Linked DNA regions of Drosophila melanogaster. The protein of the gene in region 1 purifies or fractionates together with the protein of each later gene. This does not show direct contact. Each region holds a gene or a part of one and is shown in the gene's direction. Other genes may lie near its edges.

The links.
Region 2: the proteins of wash (region 1) and Lam purify together in Drosophila melanogaster (affinity purification with western blotting; 2 studies listed by BioGRID, with this or other methods). This does not show direct contact.
Region 3: the proteins of wash (region 1) and capu purify together in Drosophila melanogaster (affinity purification with western blotting, with the first as the bait; one study listed by BioGRID). This does not show direct contact.
Region 4: the proteins of wash (region 1) and spir purify together in Drosophila melanogaster (affinity purification with western blotting, with the first as the bait; one study listed by BioGRID). This does not show direct contact.

What each region holds. Positions count from the first base shown.
Region 1 is NT_033778.4:12,178,527-12,183,509, forward strand, and holds wash (washout), read left to right. Parts: upstream 1-1,966; 5' UTR 1,967-2,014; intron 2,015-2,096; exon of another isoform or gene 2,097-2,099; 5' UTR 2,100-2,174; coding exon 2,175-3,674; 3' UTR 3,675-3,847; downstream 3,848-4,983. Other genes in the region: CG8860 (uncharacterized protein), read right to left, coding at 1,061-1,267; CG13175 (uncharacterized protein), read left to right, coding at 4,270-4,695. UniProt on the Drosophila melanogaster protein: Acts as a nucleation-promoting factor by activating the Arp2/3 complex to induce actin polymerization. Participates in both linear- and branched-actin networks.
Region 2 is NT_033779.5:5,540,333-5,547,450, forward strand, and holds Lam (lamin), read left to right. Parts: upstream 1-2,147; 5' UTR 2,148-2,328; intron 2,329-2,446; exon of another isoform or gene 2,447-2,992; 5' UTR 2,993-2,999; coding exon 3,000-3,462; intron 3,463-3,705; coding exon 3,706-4,409; intron 4,410-4,474; coding exon 4,475-5,176; 3' UTR 5,177-6,310; downstream 6,311-7,118. Other genes in the region: Hel25E (helicase at 25E), read right to left, coding at 640-758, 821-1,004, 1,101-1,324, 1,391-1,589. UniProt on the Drosophila melanogaster protein: Lamins are components of the nuclear lamina, a fibrous layer on the nucleoplasmic side of the inner nuclear membrane, which is thought to provide a framework for the nuclear envelope and may also interact with chromatin.
Region 3 is NT_033779.5:3,899,297-3,904,706, reverse strand, and holds the start of capu (cappuccino), read left to right. Parts: upstream 1-1,846; 5' UTR 1,847-2,112; intron 2,113-5,410. UniProt on the Drosophila melanogaster protein: Acts as an actin nucleation factor and promotes assembly of actin filaments together with spir. May play a role in intracellular vesicle transport along actin fibers, providing a novel link between actin cytoskeleton dynamics and intracellular transport.
Region 4 is NT_033779.5:20,308,944-20,314,780, forward strand, and holds the start of spir (spire), read left to right. Parts: upstream 1-2,275; 5' UTR 2,276-2,876; coding exon 2,877-3,471; intron 3,472-5,837.

The sequences.
Region 1 (4,983 bases):
TGCACAATTCAGGTACTTTAGTGTGACCACAGTTTAAAGTGGTCGAACGAACTACAGTGAAAGACATAAATATATGCACGGATTGCTAAATTTGCTTGGGAAAATAAGTAAGTATACTATGTATATTTCATTAATGTATTAATAACTTAAAAAGGCGACGTGTGAGCTTTAACCGTAGCCCAAGTCGCAAATGGTGGTACTTACCAATTCCATATAGATAGATGGGCTTCGTGAACAGCAAGATATCCGAGCTCGAATAACTCGTCGTGGCAGTTCAAAATTCCAGGGCTGGATATCCCCTCGTCTTATGTGCTCTAATACACACTCGGCGTGTAGCAGGTTGTAAGAAATTCGCGTTTAAAATCAAATAACTTAGTGGGCGCTGCCATGTTTTAAAATTTATTCGATAACCGATCCCCGACTTAAAAGGAAAAGTGTGACCATCAATTTATAAAATTTAGCTTATATTTTGTAAAAAAATTGTTGCTTCTTTGTTTAGGAATTTTTAAGAAAAAGCAATTGTGTCGCAGAACAAAACGATGGCTAAAACAGTAATTTTAAAAAGGCATACAACACATATAAAATTATTTTTAAGGTTAAAGAAAGATTTTTATAACAGAATTAAAATCTTCTAATTTTAAAGCAATATTAGGCGAACCCAAATACATGCCATTGTACAATGTAGAATTTAATGTTAAATCATCTCTATGTTAAAATAACAAAATATAAACATTGTCAATTGGAAGAACGATTCAAAATAAGCAACTCGACCTAGATGAATGAAATAGTACAATACATGCCATTTTGTTGCTGAATGATAAGCTAAGATTTTGTTGAATTTTGGCTTAGTTGCATTCGGAAATATATTTACAACATTTTGAGCACACCCTCCAAGCACCCAATTTATAACCAGACTTTCTTATCTCAAACCCAAGCCAAAGATATTACATTGTATTGTGTGTATAAAATCCGAAGAAGGGGCATTTATTTCGCTAAAGATGCGCGTGGAATCGTGAACTACATGTAATCTCTTTCCGGTCCGGGGGCCACCTGCCGCTTTCTAGGATCCCACGATGATGTTGTTAATGGGAATGTGAATCAGCTTGACGAAGAAGCCGATGAAGCCCATGATGGCGAAGCCCACGGCGGTGGCGATGGCGATTTTCTGGAACTCCTTGCGGTCGGGTTTTGTGCAGCGCTTCACCAGGCGGATTGAGTCCTTGGCGAAGGCGCGTCCGGGTTCGGCGAATTTGACAACCTTGTCCATTTTTGATTTGTGAGTATTTAACTAAGAATTACCAATGAACTGAATTGATATTTATTTTGCTGCCGTGTCGCTTCTTGCAGTGTTACCAAGTTCCTCAGCTCAAAACATACTAAAAATTAACGCCTTTCCTTTAGTTGTTAATAAATTTTTTTTTTGGTTGAAATATAAGTGTATTTGAATTATTTTAATTTATTTTGAGTTTTTCTTTAAATTGAACCCATTCAATTATTACTTTGAAGCAAATCATTTAATGAACAGTTTTTAACAATTGATTTGGGCACACTACCCTACCCTAGCGTCGATGGAGGAACGGTGGATTTTTGAACATATGGACGTTTTCTATTTATTTATTTTTTCGTCATTTGGAAGTGAATTCCAAATTCCGTGCTCCGGAATGGCGTGCTTATAGGCTTACATTTGCCTAATTTAGTAATGATCCTGAATAAATGATCCCCTGATTAAAAAAGTTCTCCTAACAGTGGGATGAGTTTGAAAGGTATTTAAAAATGCCGCCTTCTCTAGTAGAAGTACTACAGCCGATCCGTGTCCTTAACTGCTTTATTAACAGTAATAGTTTTGGGAGACACCGCAGTTTATCTGAGGGTTAGTTTATCTGAAGGTTAGTTTGTTTCCTGGTGGTTTGTTTATCTGGTTAGCTTATCTGGGGTCTAGTTTACCTGAATGATAATTTACGTGGGAGTTAGTGTAACTGAGGGTTCAGTTGACTGGTGTTTCGTTTAGCTAGGGGTTAGTTAATCTGAGGTTTCGTAATTTTAAAAGAAATCCATTTAATTATTACTTTGAACCAAATCATTTTTAACATCTTGTAAAGCTTTTAGAGTTGGTCACACTACCATGAACAGCAGTAAAATTGCAAATAAATATGTAATTATTTGGCGATAGAAAAATGGAGGAGTCACCTTACCTGCACAGCCCCTACCAGGTGGCCATTATAGCCACCGACCTGCACCACGAGGATACCATAATCCAAGCAGCCCAGTCCCTGGACTGTCTACACAAAACCATAAACTCGATTTTCGAGCGAATCGATGCCCGCTTGGCGAGAAATGGTTCAAAGGTTGAGGACATAAACAATCGTGTGAAGCGCGCTCAGGCAAAAATCGATGCGCTCGTTGGCTCCAAGCGGGCCATCCAGATCTTTGCACCCGCCCGCTTTCCGGCCAGCGACGTCCTGGCACCGCTGCCAGCCACCTTTCCACAGGTGGCAGCCAATCCCCTAATGGAGCAGCAAGTGGACCAGCTCCCGCAAGGGACGTACAGCAGTCACAGTGCCGCGGACCAGAAGCCGGATGATGCGGACATCTTTTTCCATGTACGTGGCGATCGGGAGCAGGAATCGCCACTGGTCGCCGAACGGAAGATAACCAATCGGACCGCTGGCCTGGGCATCCTGCCTGCGGGTGGAGTGCGCTCCGTACCCTCGCTCATGCGATTCAATACCAATGAGTTCGCCTACGGCGAGGATCTGAATGCCTGGAAGCGATCCCTACCGCCGCAAAATGCTCGACGCGTTGCCAGTCAGTCCACTCAACTCACGGGAGAAAAGCAGCTCGCTCCGGCACCTCATTCGCTGGCCCACGGCACCACCAAACTGGCCACTCCAGCTGGGGACCTGCGCTACAATCCTGCTGCTTTGGCTGCACCCGCCATTGATGTTCCGCTGGACCTGCCCGACCTACCGGGCATAGCGAATGATCTGCAATATGAGCCAGTGGAGGAGCAAACACCAATAGCGCCTTCCCAGCAGTTCGGTGATTTACCAGAGCTGCCGGATTTGGGCCTCGAGGAGCAGGATATAATAGTGCAAGCCATCGCGGCACAGACGCACATTCCGGGACCGGTGCGTAGGAAGAGTGTGGGACAATGTCCTTCGCCAGTTACGGCGGCACCACCGCCTCCTCCTCCGCCACCACCGCCGCCTCCACCTCCTCCACCAGCGCAGACGAGCGCAATTCCATCACCGCCACCCTTTCCCACCAAAGGAGCTGTGAAACCGCTCTCCCCGTCGTTAGCAACACCTCTTAACATGCCGCAGCCGCCTCCAGCTACTGAAGATCCGCGATCTGAGCTTATGGCCGCCATAAGAAACGCCGGTGGAGTGCATGGCGGTCGTCTGCGGTCGCCTGCGGCTGCGCCGCTCGACGTGGTGGACAACAGTCGCTCCAAGGCGGGAGGCGCTGTCACGGGGGATTTGATGGCAGACCTGCATAACAAGCTAATGCTGCGACGCAAGGGAATTTCTGGGAGCCAGAATCCCGTGGAGGCCACTGCTGGCAATCCCCTGATGCAGCAGCTCTCCCGCGTCATACCGCCGCCGGTGCAGCCCCGCAAGGGATCTAAGTCGAGTGACGAACACTCCGAGGACGACGAGGATGGGTGGAACTAGTGAATATTTAGCTTTAGTACCGGTTTAAGTGCCTTGGCTGGCTTAAAGCACTAGCAACCTAGGTTCTCTAGCTTAAAGCATACAAATTTCTAAAACGAATTCCAAATTCTGTGCCCAAGCGAGCATGCCAAATTAGGTCAAAGTCAACCAGTTGAATAAAACTACATATTAGCAGAAATGTGTGTAATTTCTTATTGAGAACATTGGCTAACTTTAATTGATAAAATTACAGGACAATGAAACATTTTGTGATGCTAAATGAAATAAAACAATTCTTTATACTGACTAAAATAAACTCGATATTAAATTATAATAAAACACTAAATTCTAGTTTTAGATAACAGCTATTTTCCTATTTGAAATAAACGAATTTCCCTGTTAAATCCTTAACAGCGCTGTTGTGTTGCTCTCTGCCAGTGCTGTAAAATGCCGCAGTGGAATCACATTTCGGGTAAAAACAAATTGAAATATCCACCGAATTTAAATATTAAAGTTAGAGAAGCTGCCAAATATCTGGAGTTACAATCAGGGACAAGGACAAGGACTACTACACTAGAGGAGAGCTTTTACAAGCAATCCGGTGAAACCACATATAATGACAAGTCCGTCGCGGGATATAAACGATCTTTTTGACGATATTGTCCTGACCGAGGAGAAGGAGGCACGTTTGGGCTACGAGGAGGGACTGAAGGACGGCCAGGAGCAGGGCAACGAAGAGGGCTATAAATTGGGCTACGCCCAGGGAGTATCCCTAGGCGAGGAGCTCGGCAAGATTCTGGGCCAGGTGGTGGCCCAGCAGCAGCTGAAACACACGGACAAGGTGCGTCGCAGCTTGGAACAGTTGCGTTCGCTCATCGAGGAGTTTCCCCGCACCAACGATCCGCAGGCGGACATAGTGGGTGCTGTGCAGGACATTCGCTCCTCCCATCGTCGCCTTCGCGCCCAGCTGGGATCCAAAAAAACGCCTGGTGCAGCGCCTGCAGAGACCAATTCTGTCGAGCACAAGGACTACAGCTTCTAGCCTTATAGCACCATGTCCAAGGTGGGAGTTGTGCAGTTGCAGAGGCGTCTGGATGGCTTACTGGCCTTCCTCAATCCGCACTGGGATTTTGTCAATTGCCACATGGTGAACTACTTGACGGACCAGCACTGGGACGGCTTTTTATCCGAAACGCTGAAAAGTGAGATCGCCGGCAAGGAAGATGTGGCTCTGGCCATAGAAGACCTATTTTGGAAAACTGATGAATCAGAAAGGTTTCCGGCATGGCGAGAATTCCTAGGCAAGAGCAAACAAGAACGCCTGTCGCTT
Region 2 (7,118 bases), on another chromosome or scaffold:
AAAGGACACAATTAGGAGGGGTACAGAGAAATCGAACTTAGACTAGGCTCGCCTCGGAACATACAACAATATGCATAGAATATTCTACATACGGCCACGCTACCACCACATCTCATCAACTAGTCTCTGAACTGCTCCCGAGGATCGATGATCGCTCTGAGAAGTGTGCGGATTACAGATGAGCGGGCCTATCGCATCGCATTCGCTCTGGATTGATTCAACTCGTCTCATCGGCCAGTCGGCGGGATCTTTGCTGTTTGCTTGTAGTTTTATTTAGGTATTGGTTTTTGCTAGCGTTGGTATTGTTAAATCTTTTGCGATTTCAATTGATTCATTCAGCGGTTACTGCTTGTTTATGCTTTTGCAACGGTTGCCAATTTCCACGATTAACCATTTAGAAAATGGTGTCCGATAGTCATTAACTAAGTTTTTCGATACGAGTTATGCTCACAGAGCGCTGGACGTTTGGTTGTACGCGTTTAACCATTTGCAAGATGGTGGTTGGCTTATACGGAGGGGATCAAGATCGAATGTTCGATATCGCGTGGCATTAACAAAATAATAACTAATTGTCGTGATAGCGGTGGATGCGAGGTGGAGAAGTACGAGCATTTTGGTTATGAACACGTTGATATTTACATCTTGCATGAACTTTTTGCAAACGGGACGAATGTCCTTGCTCAATGTGGCAGAGAACATCATCACTTGTTTGCCGTGCGGCGTGCTACGGAAAATCTCTTGAACGTCACGACGCATATCTAAAAGAATGGTTTGGTTATTAGTAAAACGTCCGTCATTTGGTGATTATTAGTCAACTTACCCAGCTGCTCCAGCATCTTGTCGCACTCGTCGAGCACAAAGTGCTTCAAAAGCTTCAGATTAAGTTTCTTGTTGCGAATGAGGGCGAGAATTCGGCCAGGGGTGCCCACCACAATATGCGGGGTGCCGCTCTTGAGGGTCTCCTCGTCCTTTTGAATAGCCATTCCGCCAAAGAAGACAGCCACCTAAATAGAAAACATATCGAATTAATATATAGTAACTATATAGTCGAACCAAACTTTTTGTTGAATTATATACAATGGATTAAAACGTAGACTCACCTTGACTGTGGGCATGTACTTGGAGAATCGCTCATACTCCTTGCTGATCTGGAAGGCCAGCTCGCGGGTGTGGCACATGACCAGGACGTGGCAGGTGTTGTTGTCCGACGGCTCCAGCTGCTGCAGCGTGGCCAGAACGAAGACGGCGGTCTTACCCATGCCGGACTTGGCCTGACAGAGGATGTCCATGCCCAGTACGGCCTGCGGAATGCACTCGTGCTGAACTGCAAGCGGAGAGCATCGTTAGTGACTGTACCTTTCGTCACTCCAGGTGGAGTGCAAGTACTCACCCTCCGAGGGATGCTCGAAGCCGCAGTCCACGATGGCGCGCAGGATCTCCGGTTTCAGGAGGAAATCGCGGAAGCCGGAACTGTGAATGGACACATAGGTGCCCTTGACATCCTTCTTGGGGGCCTCCTGGTTTTCGACCGCAGTGGTCTCGGTCTGCTCCTCATCCTCGTAGTCCAAAAGATCGTCATTGTCGGCCATTTCTGCGGCTTTCTTACCTTTAACTAGTTATCGGCTATAAATTCGCAACTAAATGCTGGGAAATAAAATGGGTGCGACTAGATAAGTTACATGTGTTTGTTAAAGAAAATGCCGCTTTTTTTTGCGGAACCGGTGCCGGCGTTCCCTCCGCCATTTTGTTTTTTCACCGCACCGCATTACATGTATTTCGAAATAAAACGAAATACCCATTACAAGCGACGATTTTATTTAGTGCAGTGTGATTTTCAGTGTCAAACTCACCTTTTGTGCACGTTTATCACTTTAAAATACAGCTTTTAAAGTGAAATTAACTATTTTAAAATCTTTAACGTGATGCGGAGGAAAAAACAGCGCAGAGCAGTGTGACCGAAGTACGTTTAAGAACTCATGCGAGCTGAGCCGGGTGATATCGTTAAGTTATCGATAGTTGTGCACAACAAATCCATTTGTAAGCTTCAACTAAAAAGTTTTTATAAAATATATGCCTTCTAACGCTTTAAATTAAAATGGCTTGTTGAGCTTAAATTTAATTTTTTTTTTATCATTTTGGGGTCAAGCGGTTCTTAGTCTTTTATCTAGCGCGGCGTTTGGTCACACCAGGCATGCCGGAAAGTTATCGATTAGTCTCTGAAACCATCGCAACAAATTCGATTACACGTTCCAGCGTCGGCCGCGTTTTCCTGCTGCAAGATACTTCATTTTCAAATTTGTGCATTTTCCGTTCGTTATAAAAAGTCAGGTGAGTTGCGCTGCTATCTACGAGCATTAGGAAAACTTGTAGAAAAAGTTGAAATAACTGATTAAGTGCCGAACAATAGAGGCGGCACTGTTTCACTCAAAATCGAAATAACCCCCCTGCCTGTATTAGTGTAAAGTCGCTGTAAATATTGAATTAAAATCGCCATATTGTGCAATTTTTGGCTCCTTATCAAATCGTTTAAAGTGCGTCGACTGGATTAGCTAAGCGTTGCGATTGATTAAACTAGTATTAGCCGCGCCATTTGCCTCCACGCCCATAAACAAACGCCGACAAACTCACTTCGTTTTCCTCGTCCGCTTTAGTACAGTCGCTTGAGTGGAAAGCGATGTGCGTGTGTGTGAGTGAGACGTAGAGGAGACTGCGAGAGAGAGAGAGAGCGCGTTAGAGAAACTCGTTTAGCTTCTGTTTTTGAGCGTTTTGTGCGTTTCCCCTCTTTCGTGTTCGGTTCTGTTTGGAATTTTATCAGGGCGCAAAAATAACATACCCTACACCGAACGAAAAAGTTCAAATATAAGTATTGCATATAAAACGCGTTTAGAAGGCACGCAATTGTGTTATTCAACTTTTCTTCAAGTGTTGTGTCCTAAAGAGGTCAGTCACAAAAATCTCACGTGTTATTCTGCACATTTCATTTGTCTTGCAGCGTGAACATGTCGAGCAAATCCCGACGTGCTGGCACCGCCACGCCGCAGCCCGGCAACACCTCCACCCCCCGGCCGCCATCGGCGGGTCCGCAGCCGCCGCCGCCGTCCACTCACTCGCAGACGGCCTCCAGCCCCCTCAGCCCCACCCGGCACTCGCGCGTGGCCGAGAAGGTGGAGCTGCAGAACCTGAACGATCGCCTGGCCACCTACATTGACCGGGTGCGCAACCTGGAGACGGAGAACTCCCGCCTCACCATCGAGGTGCAGACCACCAGGGACACGGTCACACGCGAGACCACCAACATCAAGAACATCTTCGAGGCCGAGCTGCTGGAGACGCGCCGTCTGCTCGATGACACAGCTAGGGATCGCGCTCGTGCCGAGATCGATATCAAGCGTCTCTGGGAGGAGAACGAGGAGCTCAAGAACAAGCTGGACAAGAAGACCAAGGAGTGCACCACTGCTGAGGGTAAGTGCGTGGAAACTGAATCGATAAGAAAACCTTATAATTGTAGGGCAAAGAAAGTAGAGTAATGATAAAATTAAAAGTAAGAAGAGACAAAAGGCGTGGTTTCAAGCAAGAACGAAACATTCATTTAGTTGCTGAACTGTATATAATGATTATCCCATGATATTCCTCACTTTCTGTGACAAAATCATCCCTATTCTGGCATTTAACGAACATTAATTGATTGATTATCCCAACCCGCAGGCAATGTCCGCATGTACGAGTCGCGCGCCAACGAGCTGAACAACAAATACAACCAGGCCAACGCCGATCGGAAGAAGCTTAACGAAGACCTGAATGAGGCGCTAAAGGAGCTGGAGAGACTGCGTAAGCAGTTCGAGGAAACGCGGAAGAACCTGGAACAGGAGACACTGTCGCGCGTTGACCTGGAGAACACCATTCAGAGTCTGCGCGAGGAGCTCTCGTTCAAGGATCAGATCCATTCGCAGGAGATCAATGAGTCGCGCCGCATCAAACAGACAGAGTATAGCGAGATCGACGGTCGCCTCAGCTCCGAGTACGATGCCAAGTTGAAGCAGTCGCTGCAGGAGCTGCGCGCCCAGTACGAGGAGCAGATGCAGATTAATCGCGATGAAATCCAGTCCCTCTACGAGGACAAGATCCAACGACTGCAAGAGGCCGCCGCACGCACATCCAATTCCACGCACAAGTCCATCGAGGAGCTGCGCTCCACTCGTGTGCGTATCGATGCGCTCAACGCCAATATCAACGAACTGGAGCAAGCCAATGCCGACCTCAATGCGCGGATCCGTGATCTGGAGCGCCAGCTGGACAACGATCGCGAACGCCACGGTCAAGAGATAGACCTTCTCGAGAAGGAGCTCATTCGGCTGCGCGAAGAGATGACGCAACAGCTCAAGGAGTACCAGGACCTTATGGACATCAAGGTTAGCTTTAATACTTGTCTAAAATCGTGTACGTATTAATACATAAATCTAATTATCCTGCTTAGGTCTCCCTGGATTTGGAAATCGCCGCATACGACAAGCTGCTGGTGGGCGAGGAGGCTCGTTTGAACATCACCCCAGCCACCAACACGGCCACAGTGCAGTCCTTTAGCCAGTCGCTGCGCAACTCCACGCGAGCCACGCCATCGCGTCGCACTCCCTCTGCTGCCGTGAAGCGCAAACGCGCCGTGGTCGACGAGTCGGAGGATCACAGCGTCGCCGATTACTATGTGTCCGCCAGTGCCAAGGGCAACGTGGAGATCAAGGAGATCGATCCCGAGGGCAAGTTCGTAAGGCTGTTCAACAAGGGCAGCGAGGAGGTGGCCATCGGTGGCTGGCAGCTGCAGCGGCTAATCAACGAGAAAGGTCCTTCGACCACTTACAAGTTCCATCGATCGGTGAGGATCGAGCCAAATGGCGTGATCACCGTTTGGTCGGCGGACACCAAGGCCTCGCACGAGCCGCCATCGAGCCTTGTGATGAAGTCACAGAAGTGGGTCTCCGCCGACAACACTAGGACGATTTTGCTGAACTCCGAGGGCGAGGCCGTGGCCAATCTGGATCGCATCAAGCGCATTGTGTCCCAACACACATCCTCCTCCCGGCTGAGTCGTCGTCGCAGCGTGACCGCCGTGGACGGCAATGAGCAGCTCTACCACCAGCAGGGCGATCCTCAGCAGTCAAACGAGAAGTGCGCCATTATGTAAAATCAAACGCAGCACAACACAACTCTTTCCTCTTTGCTGAACAAGACAAACAAAATAAGCACACACGAAGATCATAATTTAGAACCCAAAAACACACACACCGAGGTACAGAGATTTATTATTCAGCTAAGTTATTTTTTGTGGCCGCAGCGCCAATTATTTAATCAAAAACATTTGTGTAGAAGACATCCTGAATCTTCGTTTCGTTTGTACACTTTCGTTTTCCCTTTCTTAACAAATTCTATAGTTTATTGTTTCGATGTTTTTGTATTTCCGCGTTAACTAATCTATTGTAAACTTTATTTGGTATAAACTGGAGAGGCATGTTGCCTCTTTTTTATGCCACATAGAATTTACGTAAGACGTTCACTTCTTGTATTCGCGGCGGCAAGAACTTTGAAAATATTGCAAGAAAAACAATATTTTCGATGTACTTACGCTCCACCTACATATTTAGTAAATTAGTTTTTAAGCTATATCCCAGATAAACCAGTCGACGTCAGCAAACAACAACAAAAAAAAAACAACGAGCACGTAGTGAGTGATTTATAAGATACAGGTCAAGAGGATTAACTAAAGAAAACAAACGCTCCTGACAACAGACATATTTATTTAAGTATTTTTTGTACAATCAACATAAAATACATTATACATTATACATACATATACATACATACATTATATATATAGACTCATGCCTACGGAAGTGACAACCAGCCAGCAATATATATTTTTAGCCATGGCCATAGGGTTTACGATCCACCAAAACGGCTTTCTCCCGGTTTAGACCGGTTCTTGAGCTTCCTGCAGACATTTTACCGGACGAGCAACAATAAGAACAGCAACAACAACAACAGCATTAACAGCAACAACACAAATGTACAACAATTACAAAAGCAACAAAGAAGAAAAACGAAAGAAAATGGAAGTACACGTAGCGGCTCAGCGATCCGTCGCATTTTTTATGGGTGGGCGTGGTCGCGTTTTACGCCGGCCAAACAAATGCAACGCCCACACAGACTATTATACAAAAACTGATGAATACAACTAAATTTTAAGTACATCTACGTTTATGTATGTAATTGCTAATAATTTGATAATTAAAAAATAAAGAAACCATGTTTAATAAAAATTAAAAACAAACTTTGATTTAGCAATAGAGAGAAAGACATAAAAAAGTATTAAATAGTTTTAAAGCGTATACTGAAACCAATAAGCTCCTACGAATTTCGTAATAGTAGGGTACGCATTTCACTTTCGACGCCTGGTGGCCCTTTTTTCGTCACTCGCTTTGCGTTTCTATTCGTCGCCATGAGTTATTTTTGGAATTTTAATTTTTCTGCGTCTGTATTAGTTGCCTACATGCTTTTTCAATGCGTGTGTTCGCTCATAAACTTTATTTTTGAGTGACTTATCGATTATTTTTGAGTGCAGGACGTTTCAAAACCAACGTGCTTTCGCATTTATAAATATAATTTCTCTTCTTCTTCCGACCATGATTGTTTCTTTTAAAAATGTTAGGTGTCAACCCTGTCGATAGAGAAGAGAGCAAAATCCACTCAAACGAAACGCACTCAACGCGAGAGATGCGGTTAAAGTTCGTTCAACTGGCAAATGCAGTGACCGTTTAACCCGCGATAACGATAACAAAAGTATCTCAAGGTTGCTTGCAATTGCATTTCTGATTATTCTCTCTCTTTTTCTCTCTCTTATTCCAACCGCAGCCGCAAAAACAAACTCAAACTCGAGCTAATCGCTGCATAAATTTGCTGTTCGAATTGAACAATTGAACAGTCTCAGTTAGCAGCTGAAATCGGAAATAAGCGACAAAAGCAGCAGTGCGAGCAAAAATCAAGTAATAATAATCATCAATAAGCAGCTGTTTGCATTCGCGTGTTTTGAAGGTGAGTAGCCAAGTTAATACATATGTATATTGCATAAA
Region 3 (5,410 bases), on another chromosome or scaffold:
GAAAGGTTGGCAAAAGTTTTTCGACTCCTCATTAGCTTTTGTCTCCATTGGGGCATTAAATTGGAACGAATATTTGTTTGCTCGGTTCGACTAATTGCGCTGCTAATTTCAATTGTTCGCATTGTCGGCAAGCAATAATAATGCAAAAATTGTAATTACAAATTAACAATTGGTCGTCTGGGTCCCTCGGTGACCTAAAATTAGATTGTGTAAATTTGCAAATTAATTTGCCATTGCACAAAGAGCTCCGTGCAATTCAGCTCGGCAAAATCAGAGCACACAATATCAATTTATTTACTGTGCAATCTGTAAATAGTAGAACATGGAGTCATTAAATTGCAACTGCTAAAAAAAAAACTTGAAAATTTAGTACTGCCAGTCAAAAGTCCAAGTGAGTTGCATTTACATAAAAATAGGCTAACAAAAAAAATATCTACACAGCGTCATACAAGACCGCAAAAATATGGAAATTCAAATAGAAACAGTATCTTTTAGCAAAAAGAGAAAATCTTTAAAATAAAATCATAATAGCCGGCAAATGGAATAATCAACAGACATCAAAACGAATTCGAATTAAATTTTAAACTGCGGGAAGCTTAAAACCGATTTTGTAAACTACAACTGGGTGAAAAGTTCAATACAAATACTTTTATTTACTTTTCACCTTCATTTGTGAAAGGTGATTACCGAAAAATCATCAGCCAACTATAGCAAAACTTTCTCCCAACTTGCGGATGAAACAAAAATGATACAAATTCCTTTTTGCTTTCTTTTTTCGCTCTAAAATTATAAAATCGAAATGGGTTGTAAAAACAATCAGTTGTACAGAATTCTTTGCTTGCTTTCGATTGTTAGTAAAACCCTTGAGCACTCAGTGATATTGTAAAAATACACAAAATATTTAATTGCACAGCAAAGTATAAAAGAAGGGGGAATTATCTTTAATCCAATACTTGTTTAGCTCTGTTATGAAATATTTGAGTAATAAATCCACATAATTGATACTTTTAACAAACAAAATAAAAACGTAATATGTGAGCATTAAAAATGAAAAATGTATCAGTATTTTATTTGAATAATTGCAAGCGGAAGCAAGGAATTTAGTAAAATAAAATAATTTCGTTTTTGAATGAAGGTTACATAAATTTCTCTTAGCGATAAAAACTATTTAATGGATATTAAAGATTTAAGGACATTGTAAATAGATAAACAGAGTAAACCAAAGAGTTTAGAAATTTAATTTGAAATAAATGTGTTTAAAACATAATCGAAAATATTTATTAGAATAGTGAATAATATCTGCATTTTTATGAATGGGTTACTGTGGCGTTGAGTAAGATACATCTATAAATGGTATTTCTTATTTAATTAATGATCTTACTTTTAACTATGTATAATAAAAAAATAGTTTTAAAAATAGTTAAGGAGTTTTATTTAGTCCCCGAACAAACTCAGACCACCCACGCATTTTTCAAGTATCCACCTAGATATAAACAAAGATGTACTGGTAATCCAAAACCAAATATGATCAAAATAGCCAATAACTTTAGTCTAAGTCTGCGACTATATTAAACTGTCCATTTTCGTTCTATAATTTTTACTCAAACTAAATGTAAACTATTAAATCTGCTTTTAAAAAAAAAAAGAACCGAGAGAACAGAAATGTTCACGCCAGGCGATTGAAACATTTTACTGACCTTTTTAGTGCGAAACCAAAAGTTTAAACTAATTTTAATTGTAAACCTAGACAGTAATGATATACGATATATTATACAATGTAAATCAGAATATACGATAATTATAAAGTAAATAAAATGAAATTTAAAACAAGCAGTTCGTCTACACCGTTCAATTGGGTTAGGCATACAAAATTCTGTCAAAATTTGTGTAATTTTTCGTTTCCTTTTTTTTGTTGTATATCGTTTTGGTAAGATGATTGTGTATCCAATGGAAGAGCTCTATCCGGCTATGATGGTCATAGCCATCACATTGTTAGCCCTTCTGCAATGGGGTATTCGTGCCACAATTAAGCCCAAAATATTGGGCCCACAGAAAAACGCAATAAAAAATGGAGTAAACAACAAAAGGAGGAAAGTCCTCTCCGCCATGCAGGTAAATTGAAAAATGTTTGCAATTGTTTTTACCATCTATCTATGCTCTTTTTGCGGTGCGCACAATTAAGGTGGAAAAATGTAGATCGACTGTCAGATATTCTTACAGAAACTGAATATATTTTGCCTATCTGAGCATTAAACAACAATGACCATTAATGATTTATCAGATTTAAAGACCAGTATATATGTATAATATATAATTAATAATCTTCATATATATTATTTTTAATTACTACAACTTAGGCACAACACTAGTATTTTTAACAATCATTGCACTTAACAGATTTTTGTTTTGATTTTAAAAAGTGTATTCAATTATTTCGCAACTTTAAAACTCAATTTTTGTGGAATTTTATTTTTTGACTGCTTGGCAACTCTGACCACCAATGCGTGCCTGTGTGTGTGTTGCTTGTCAGTCTGCGTGTGTGTGTGAGTTTGCGCTGCTGGCAAACCGCAAAATGGTGACATTGTGCAAATAAAAAACAATTTACGATAAACATCAAATTTCCACAAATTACCTTATATTTTACGTGAGTTGCGAAACAGATTGTAAAACGCGAAAACACACACAAACCGAGGGAAAAGTGAAAAAAAAGAAAACCGCGATTCGCAGATTTTACACTGCAATGAACATTTTGTTTCACTGTTCACCATTGTTTGCCAAGTGTGGAATAGGGGCGAGAGGTTTGGAAACTTGGGGGCGTGGCTAAGAGAGGTGCCACTTTAAGCGTGCCGCATGCCCCCACCTGAATCTCGAATTTTGCAATTATTTTTATTGCTCGCCATTTTGCTCGTCTGATGTTTTCCACGTTTTTTTTTTTCACCCCCCAGCTGCAACCTGACGGGGGTTGGGGAATGTGTTTGGGGGCAGAATAGAGGTCGTAGGCCATTTCGAGGGCCCTTCATAAATTTCCACAGTGCGGAAGAAGGAAAAAAAATTATTCTTTATATGAGGGAAATAAATAAAAAAATGCTTGTTAAGCTGCGGCGCTGTATGTTTGCGCATAAAAAGCATACAAATTATGCAGGCACTGTAAGAGATTAAAAACTAAATAAAAATAAGTGTGAAAAATTGCTTCCTAAATATATAACGAGAAACCCTTTTCAATCTTAAATAGTATCATTGATCAAACTTTTCAATCGCACCTTTATCAACACCTCAGATTTTCAGAGCAAAAGAGATTTGCAGCCATCTTGACATTTGTCGGCCAGTATGAGGCGCCACTTTCCCACGATTTTCCATTTCGAAGAGCTCATTCCTGCCCCCTAATTGATGTCGCCAGGTGTCGTCGAACCACATAAACAGGGCTCAACGGCAAAAAAAAAAGAAATCCAGAACAGCCAGTTCACTGGCCGCATTGTGCGCCAGAGGGCCAATAATTAGGAGTGTCTTTAAGATGGGTCTAAAAAATGATAAGAGGGCTGGAAAGCAGATAGCGACATGACCAACTCAAATAGGCAGCGGGGAAACTTGGCCTAGACTGTGTTGACTTGCTGGCCAATGTAATTAGGGAGCATTAGGATTAGACCGACTGTTCCCAAGCAGCGGATAACAAAGCACTGCACAGAGAGAAGATAATTAGGTCTAATTTGTACTATTAAATATACTTCTTTAAAGGTATTAAATAAAAATTCTACTTAGCTCGTGGGAATATCAGAAATTAAATGCCAAGTAGTTGTTAGAAAAATATTGAATAATCCTGAGAAACATACTTCTGATTTTCAGTGCAAACGCAATAAGCCAACTAAAACTTGGCCAACGGCAAGTTGGAGAGAAGGAGCAGAAAATGTGGTAAACTTTTTGCTGTTTTGGCGTAAACAAAAATAAATCAATTTCTTGGTGCGCACAATTGTTAAGATAGTAGATAGGACAGAGTCCATAACGACAGGACCGAACAACAGGATAAGTCCGCAGAGTCATGTCAATGGCCGGCGGCTTTCGAGAAATGGAAATTTCGAAAGACGCCAGGCATTTTTCCTTAGATTCTTTTGCAAATATTCCAAATTCAACGGAAAGTGGAATAATATTTGCACGACTTGCGTATGTAAAGCCACTTATACCTGGGACCATGCTGATTGCATTTGGAAGTATTTTCAGGTGCCTGTGGCAAATTTAAATATTCAAGTGACCTTTAAGAAGAAGTTTTTATAAACAAAAACAATTTAAACATTTCTTCTTGGCACAACTCATATACAGAGTTCCGTGGATTTCCGTGGCATCGCCGATAATTATTTCTTGAAACATGCTAGAATTCAATTTCTAAAACTCCAATCAAATTACCAATATACACGTCTCGAACAGAAACCTAATTTGAATGCCAGCGAAGCGGGTGAAATGTAGTTAACTTTCAGTCGATTTAGTTTGGTTTCGAGCTCCCTTCAATAACCCTTGTTCTAAGCTCCAAGTCCCCCATACCGTCACCATTAGTTCTTATTCCCCGGGTTCTTGTCGCTATTTCTGCTGTTCCTGCTGTTGCATCGCATTCTCATTGACAAGTTTAATTGATGGGCGTCAGCGTCAGCTTTTGGCTTCAGCTCGACGGAGTTTGGGGAAAAGGCCATGGCCAAGACACCATCCCGCATACCCCACTTTGCCCATCACACTCTGACCCCCGTTGTACAGTACACCCTCGATTACCGGAATGGCGACGCGACAAAACCGCAGAATCTAATTTGGCACAAACCACCAAAGCAATTAAAGTTGCAGCTCTGCAAACGGTGTCCGATGCGAATGTTCCCCAACTGTCTATCTGTCTCTGTCTTTCCCTCGGCGCGTTTGTGTGTGTGTGTGTGTGTGTGTGTGTGCGAAGGTATCGGTGTGGGTGAGTCCCTGTGTCGGTGAGGTGTCACTGCTATATGAATCGCGATAGCAATCCAGAAAATATCACACTTTTGACCATTATGCGGCTTAAAAATGAAAACTCAACAGAATCAGTAACTAAAGATTGTTTTATGAATAAATACTTTTAGAATTGTTCTTTGAAACTTGTTCTGATTTTTGTATCTTTAACCACGCACCACACTCACCGTTTTCAAAATGGTTTTTCACAGTTGAAATTAACTAGAGGCAAATAAAAATTAGACCCATTTGTATCTACAAAACGTGCAAAATGTGTTGTCACTGCAACCAGAATTCATTTGGGGTACCTGTCTCTGGCATTTTTGGGGTAATATGTGGTTGTGGTGGCTGCTGGATTGGGTGGCACGGCTATAATTTAAAATAATTTTCATTTTGTCGCAGCACGCACATTTTTTTGGTCAAAAAATAATTTTTCGAGACCCCCAAAAGTGGTTTG
Region 4 (5,837 bases), on another chromosome or scaffold:
CATTGAATTTAACTGTGGGGTTGTATCCACGACTTATGTCCCATTTTGATATGGGGAAAATTAGTCTTTATTTGTATATCAAAAGTACAAATAGAATTTTAACTTTGAGAATTGGTCAATTATTGTTATCTCGATCAGATATAAATATAGCTCGAAATTTTAATAGGTCTAAACTGTTGTTAAACATATTTTTACTTGATAGATGAATTCATTATACTCAGTTTACATCGGTTGCAATTTGCAATTTTACAATATTATTACTTATTTTAAGTTTAGGACTGAGTATAATGTGTTAGTTATGAAATGGGTCCCTGATAAGTTAGTAATTTTGTTGCAGCGGAAACCGCATCGACAACATTAATATAATATTTGGGCGGTTGAGGCTATGGCGTATAACGCAGCCCGCCGCTTTACTTCGCACCACGAAGTTGTTGATTGATGGCTGCAAGGCGCTCTTTGTAGCGCTGCCGGTCTTCCTCATTAGTTGCCGTCTTCAGTAGTTCGATGTTGAGCCTCCGGGCGCTGAGCAACTTAATCCGGCGGCCACCCCTCTTCTTTTTAGGTGGCTGCTCCCTCGCTGCAGTCCGTGCCTTGTACTCTTGTATGGTCAAGGGCTTTGGTCCCGCGGACGGATCTACCTCTATTACCTCTTTGATACTTGGCAGATCCCTTTGCTCGACAGGAGCAGGGTGTTCGAACGTCTGCTTGGTAGACATTCGCTGTTGTCATGTGCGGCGCGCCGGTGGAATCCTTTATCCTTTATCCTAATCCTACCCTCGCAGGATGCCGTGCTAATTGCTGTTGCGGCTTACAATGGTCGAGGGCAGTCGTTCATGCAGACGTCGGGTCTTTTCGGCTTGGGTGATGTTGAATTTTCAGTTATTTCTTCATTGATTATTTCTATTTTTGCTGAGTGAGTTGTGGTATTCGGCTTTCTTTGCTGGAGGTTTTCTTTCAGAAAGTCTAATTCGGCAGTTAATTTCGGTGCCGTTGCCCATGGGGGCGGTGTTTTATTTGTATATCATAGCCACTTAATATGTGCTATACCTTTATTTTTGATTTCCTGACATCCGCGTTTGCCCATTACCACACTCTACTCACTCAGTATTTTTGTTTCTTTTTTTTTTCATCAGTGTCCCGTCTCTAGGTCTCCCGCACTGGTGTAAGGGGCGGCCTGCCTCTCACACCTGTTGTCGCTGTTTAGAATTCCCAAATCAAATCGGCAATATTAGCAGCATTTCCTCAGTAGTCCTCAGATCGCAGGCTCCTGCCTCACGGTCGCCATGTAATAAACCAATATATGCCACCAATTGAGAACACGTGTTTTCCTTGCAGTTGGGTGCAGCCGTCAGGCCACCTTTTTATTTCTTCTTATCTCTTCGAGTAGCAGAAACGGTTCTGCCCGCTTAACCTCTACAGAGTGTCTAATCTTACCTAAATACTGCGACTGCGCCGCCGTCGACAGCGGCAGAAGAGCAGCGTATATATATATGTATAAGAGAGAGAGAGAGAGAGCTTATGCGCATATATGGCCAGCGGCCAGCGTGGGGATGCTGACTTAGCTTAAAGCATAAATGGGTGATCTTATATCACGCTCACTTGAGACATTTATTTATGCAATGCAACTAAGTGTTGCTGTGTACTTATAGGTACAGTGTACCCTCGATATATGCACATACTACAATATATTCTTGTAATCAATGTTTATATTATGTAAATCAGCTGTCGCTCCCCAAAAATTCCTTAATTCCAATTAGAAGACAACGAAAAAATTTCTCTTTATTTACGAATAAAAATTGTCCCTCAACTCCAATTGGAACGGCTGATCCGTCAACATTTTAGTCGGCAACACTTTAGTCTGCAACATTTGGGAATGTTGCATCATCTTGTTGCTATGCATGTTTCCACGGAAAAAGAGAGTATATCATAACAAGAGACCATTCACTTTTTTCGTTTTGAAGCAACAAATTTGAAAAGAGAAAACTTTATGTTTTTCCCGCGGGCTTGTTTGTTTTTTTTTTCTCGCTCTCCGTCGAATTGACTCTACATTTTGATGTGATCTTATTATTAGGTGAATCAGCTGTCTTCAAAAGAACAGTTTTAATTAAAAAAAAAATCCCTCAATTCCAATTCAAATTTCATTTAGAACACAACGAAGATATTTCTCTTCTTGTACGAACAAAATGCTCTCTTAACTCAAGTTGGAACGGCCGTTCCGGCAACATTTAAGTTGGTAACATTGTTGCATGCTGCATGCATTTGAGCACAAGAGTGTCATTTACGATTAGCAACTCGCGGCGAACGGACGTGTGTAAAAAATAGCCGGTGAGAAAAAACGAAGTGCGATTGCCGAAGAAAAACAGAGAGATTTCAAATAATAAAGAAATGCAAATGAAACAGAAGAAAATAAAAATAAAGCAAAGTGCGTGATTTCCATCTCCTCAGTGTTGTGAAATTTCTAGCAGAGTCTAACGGCGATTTGCGAATGCCGACTTAAGAAGTGCGAAAACAAAAACGTGACGCCAGTTTAAAATATTCTCAAGCGAAAATCATGTGTTTTTTGTTATACCCTGTGCTTTGTGTTTAATGTAGCTGACGACAAACAAAATATTAGAATCGTGTACGTCGGGAATCCGAATTCCATCCCCTCGTGTTGTGTTATTATTGTATTAAAGTTTCCTTTGCCATTTACCACACACAACACAGAAAAACAACAACAACAAAACTAAACCAAAATCGAACCAAAAACAAACCGCGAATTTTGCAGGTTAGCCCACCCGAAAGAGGCAAAAAAATCAATTATATGTTGGCCAGTGCCGGGTTTGCAGTGGAATCGGGTTGAAAGCCATCGATAGCCACACACGCCCACACACATAATGACGGAGCACCAGGCCGAGGAGCAGGCGGACACGCCGCCCACCAAGGTCAAGGCCACGCCCACACCCACCCCGAGTGGAAAGTTCAAGGACGCGAAGGAAGACGCCTTCCTGTCCACATCGCCGGACAGCGCCAACGGCGATGCCCAACACAAGCTGCCAGCGGACCAGCTGGCCATGTCCTCCAGTGCGCATCCCCAGCAGGCGGGCCAAGCCCGCCCGCTCATCCTGCAAGCCTTCCACCGCTGCTCCTCGCCAGAACAGTGCGTCACGCTGCACGACATCCTGGACTCCTTTAAGGCGCCGCTCTCCGAGGACCAGGCCTGGGCCCTGATCCACCAGTTCGCCGGGCTCTACCACCAGGTGGCCGTACAAGCGCACACCTGTGCCGCGGACTACGAGGCCGCCCTGCCCACCGGATTCGAGCTGCACTTCCATCGCGACGGCAGCGTCCACTTCTCCGGCCCGGATCAGCTGACGCCTAAGGAGCAACTGCAGCAGGAGCAGATCCCCCTCCCCCCGCAGCACGACGTGATTGTGGATCAGCCGGACCACAGCGCCAGCAGCAGCGGCGACAGCAGCGTCATCAACAGAGGTAAGCAGACCGACCTACTGAAAAATCAATATGCATACATATTTCTCACGGCTACAGTTAGCGGAAATTAATATTCCTGCAGTTTATGCCAGTTGTTTAATTAACGGAAATTAACTTAGTATGAATCTTCTATTCCTTGAATTTTTAATTTATTATTTTTTAAATCATGCTGAAAATATTTGAACTAAAATTGATCTATAGTCATAGTTATTAATGTTATAACATTTATTTATTAACGTGCTGCACACAACTGGCAATCTTTAGAATCTATATAGAAGTGGAAATGTTCAATACAACATTGATCAACTAACAATTTGGATTGATAACCTAATGAACCTGCCAACCCCAAATGACATTTTAATGTCGTTTTTCCTTACAATTATAGTAACATGTTTTAATCACAAATAATTTATTGTACATTGCACGCAAATGCAATTTGACTACCTTTAAGCTAGCAACCCGTGTATATTCTTTCGACTTTGTGTTAAGTTCTGTATCCTTTGAGCAATATTTCCTATTATTTTTTATGAGTCTTCCTAAAGATATATATATAGTTTATGTGTATTTCGGCCCGTCAGAGGTCAGTTGGGTGTTGACTTCAGATGCGGAACTGTAACAGTGATGAAAACTGGGGCTGTGATTAGCTGGGCCGGAAAACCGGTTGCGCTGATGCCTCTCCGAATGCTGAGGGGTCTTTGTCTTTTCGGCAAACGCTTTCATTTTCAGTTAATAAGCCACAGTTAACTTCTTTCTCTCGGCCTTTTATTTTCGGACATCTGCCGTGATGTGGGTTTCCGTGTGCCATCCATCTGACTATTGGCATCGCCCGGCCATCGCCAGCGGAGTCCCCAGCGCTTTCCAAACAAACAACCCACACTATCCGCCATCCGATGATGACCTCTGCATTTAAGTTATGCAGCCAGCCAGCTTTGATTGGGGTTTTCCCCACTTCTGCCTTCTGTCTGATTGCGTGCTGGCTTGGGAAAGTGTAAACGGCGACTCCCATGAAGAAGGTACCATCCCAGTACCCTATCAGCAGTGTTTTTCACTTTCTTTTGTAGCTCGGAGAGCACAAGTATCACTGGAAGAAAGGCAGGTCATGTTCGGATTGGGCAGAAGATTGAACGCTTTTCCTTGCCGCAATACAATCGAATCCAAATCTACGAAAGTAGATTTTTTCCAGTGTAACGATCACAGCCTTTCCTTTCGGCATTCCCCCTGCATTCGCTGTAATTGATGGGGGGATACTTTTTCGCCTCTCGATCTCTGAATCTACAGAACGTGTCTGAGTCTGTCTCGCAGCTAATTGTTTAATCATTCGTCTGCGCGGGGACTGTCAAAATACAGGTCGGTAATCTATCGACTTTTAGATAAGCCACGTTAATTGGAAAATGCGTTTCTGAGTGGGTAGTGATGGGAATCTTGGATTTCGTTCTCCTAGGTGGCCCTTAATGTGACTCAGCTCAGCTTTTGGTCTGCAGCATTAACTGCATTCCATTGCATCTTTCTTCGTATGGGCCTGTCTATCTCTATTTGGCCAGGCCAACTCTGCCTATAGCCGGCTTTTGTATCAGCGTGGCCAATTAGTTAGCTCTTATAGACAATTAGCCAGTTACATGGGTAATCTTAAGGGCACGCAGATACAGGAAGTTACAGTATTAATTGAACTGTGTAACTCGGAGGTGAAGGAACTATAGATGGCTGATAATGCTGTAGGAAGTCCTAGGGGATTTTAAAACCCATTTCAGTATACTACTTAAAATTCAGAAATTTTCTTTTATAAATAACTTAAAAAATGTTCTTAGCTCTTAAACCTCTGTAATTAAAGGTCTGTGATCGTCAATTTCTTATCTAAATTCACACGTAACCTTTGTTTATGCTTATCATCAGAACTTTCCTCGGGCCAAACAGAGATCACCTTGTAACACCTTAATTGCCGCTAATTCAGCCGCTAAAATCCAAGCCATTAGGTGAGATATCGAAAGGTTTTGGCCCGGGAACCTCGAGAACCGCCAGCGGGGGCAATTAGTCTGCTCAAACAAGTTATTACAGATGGGAGACGGACCAGACGGGTGGATGCCATCAGATTCAGCACCTTCTAATGGCTTTCGGTCGGCTGCTTCTGTGTTATCCGAAGCAAATACATCAAATCGGTGGAACGTTCTCGCAGGTTACATTGTTGCTGTGCGGGCTTTGAACTTGCCGCATCGATTTCGATTTCGGTCTCGATTTCCGTTGGTCTCTGGCTGAAAATCGCGCTCCATCGCCTCCTGACAACCGCATCCACGGGCGCAGCGAATCATTGATTGTGTCGAATTCGGCTCCAGACCCTCGGAGGCCATCGGAACCCTCGGGAGCACCCGCGA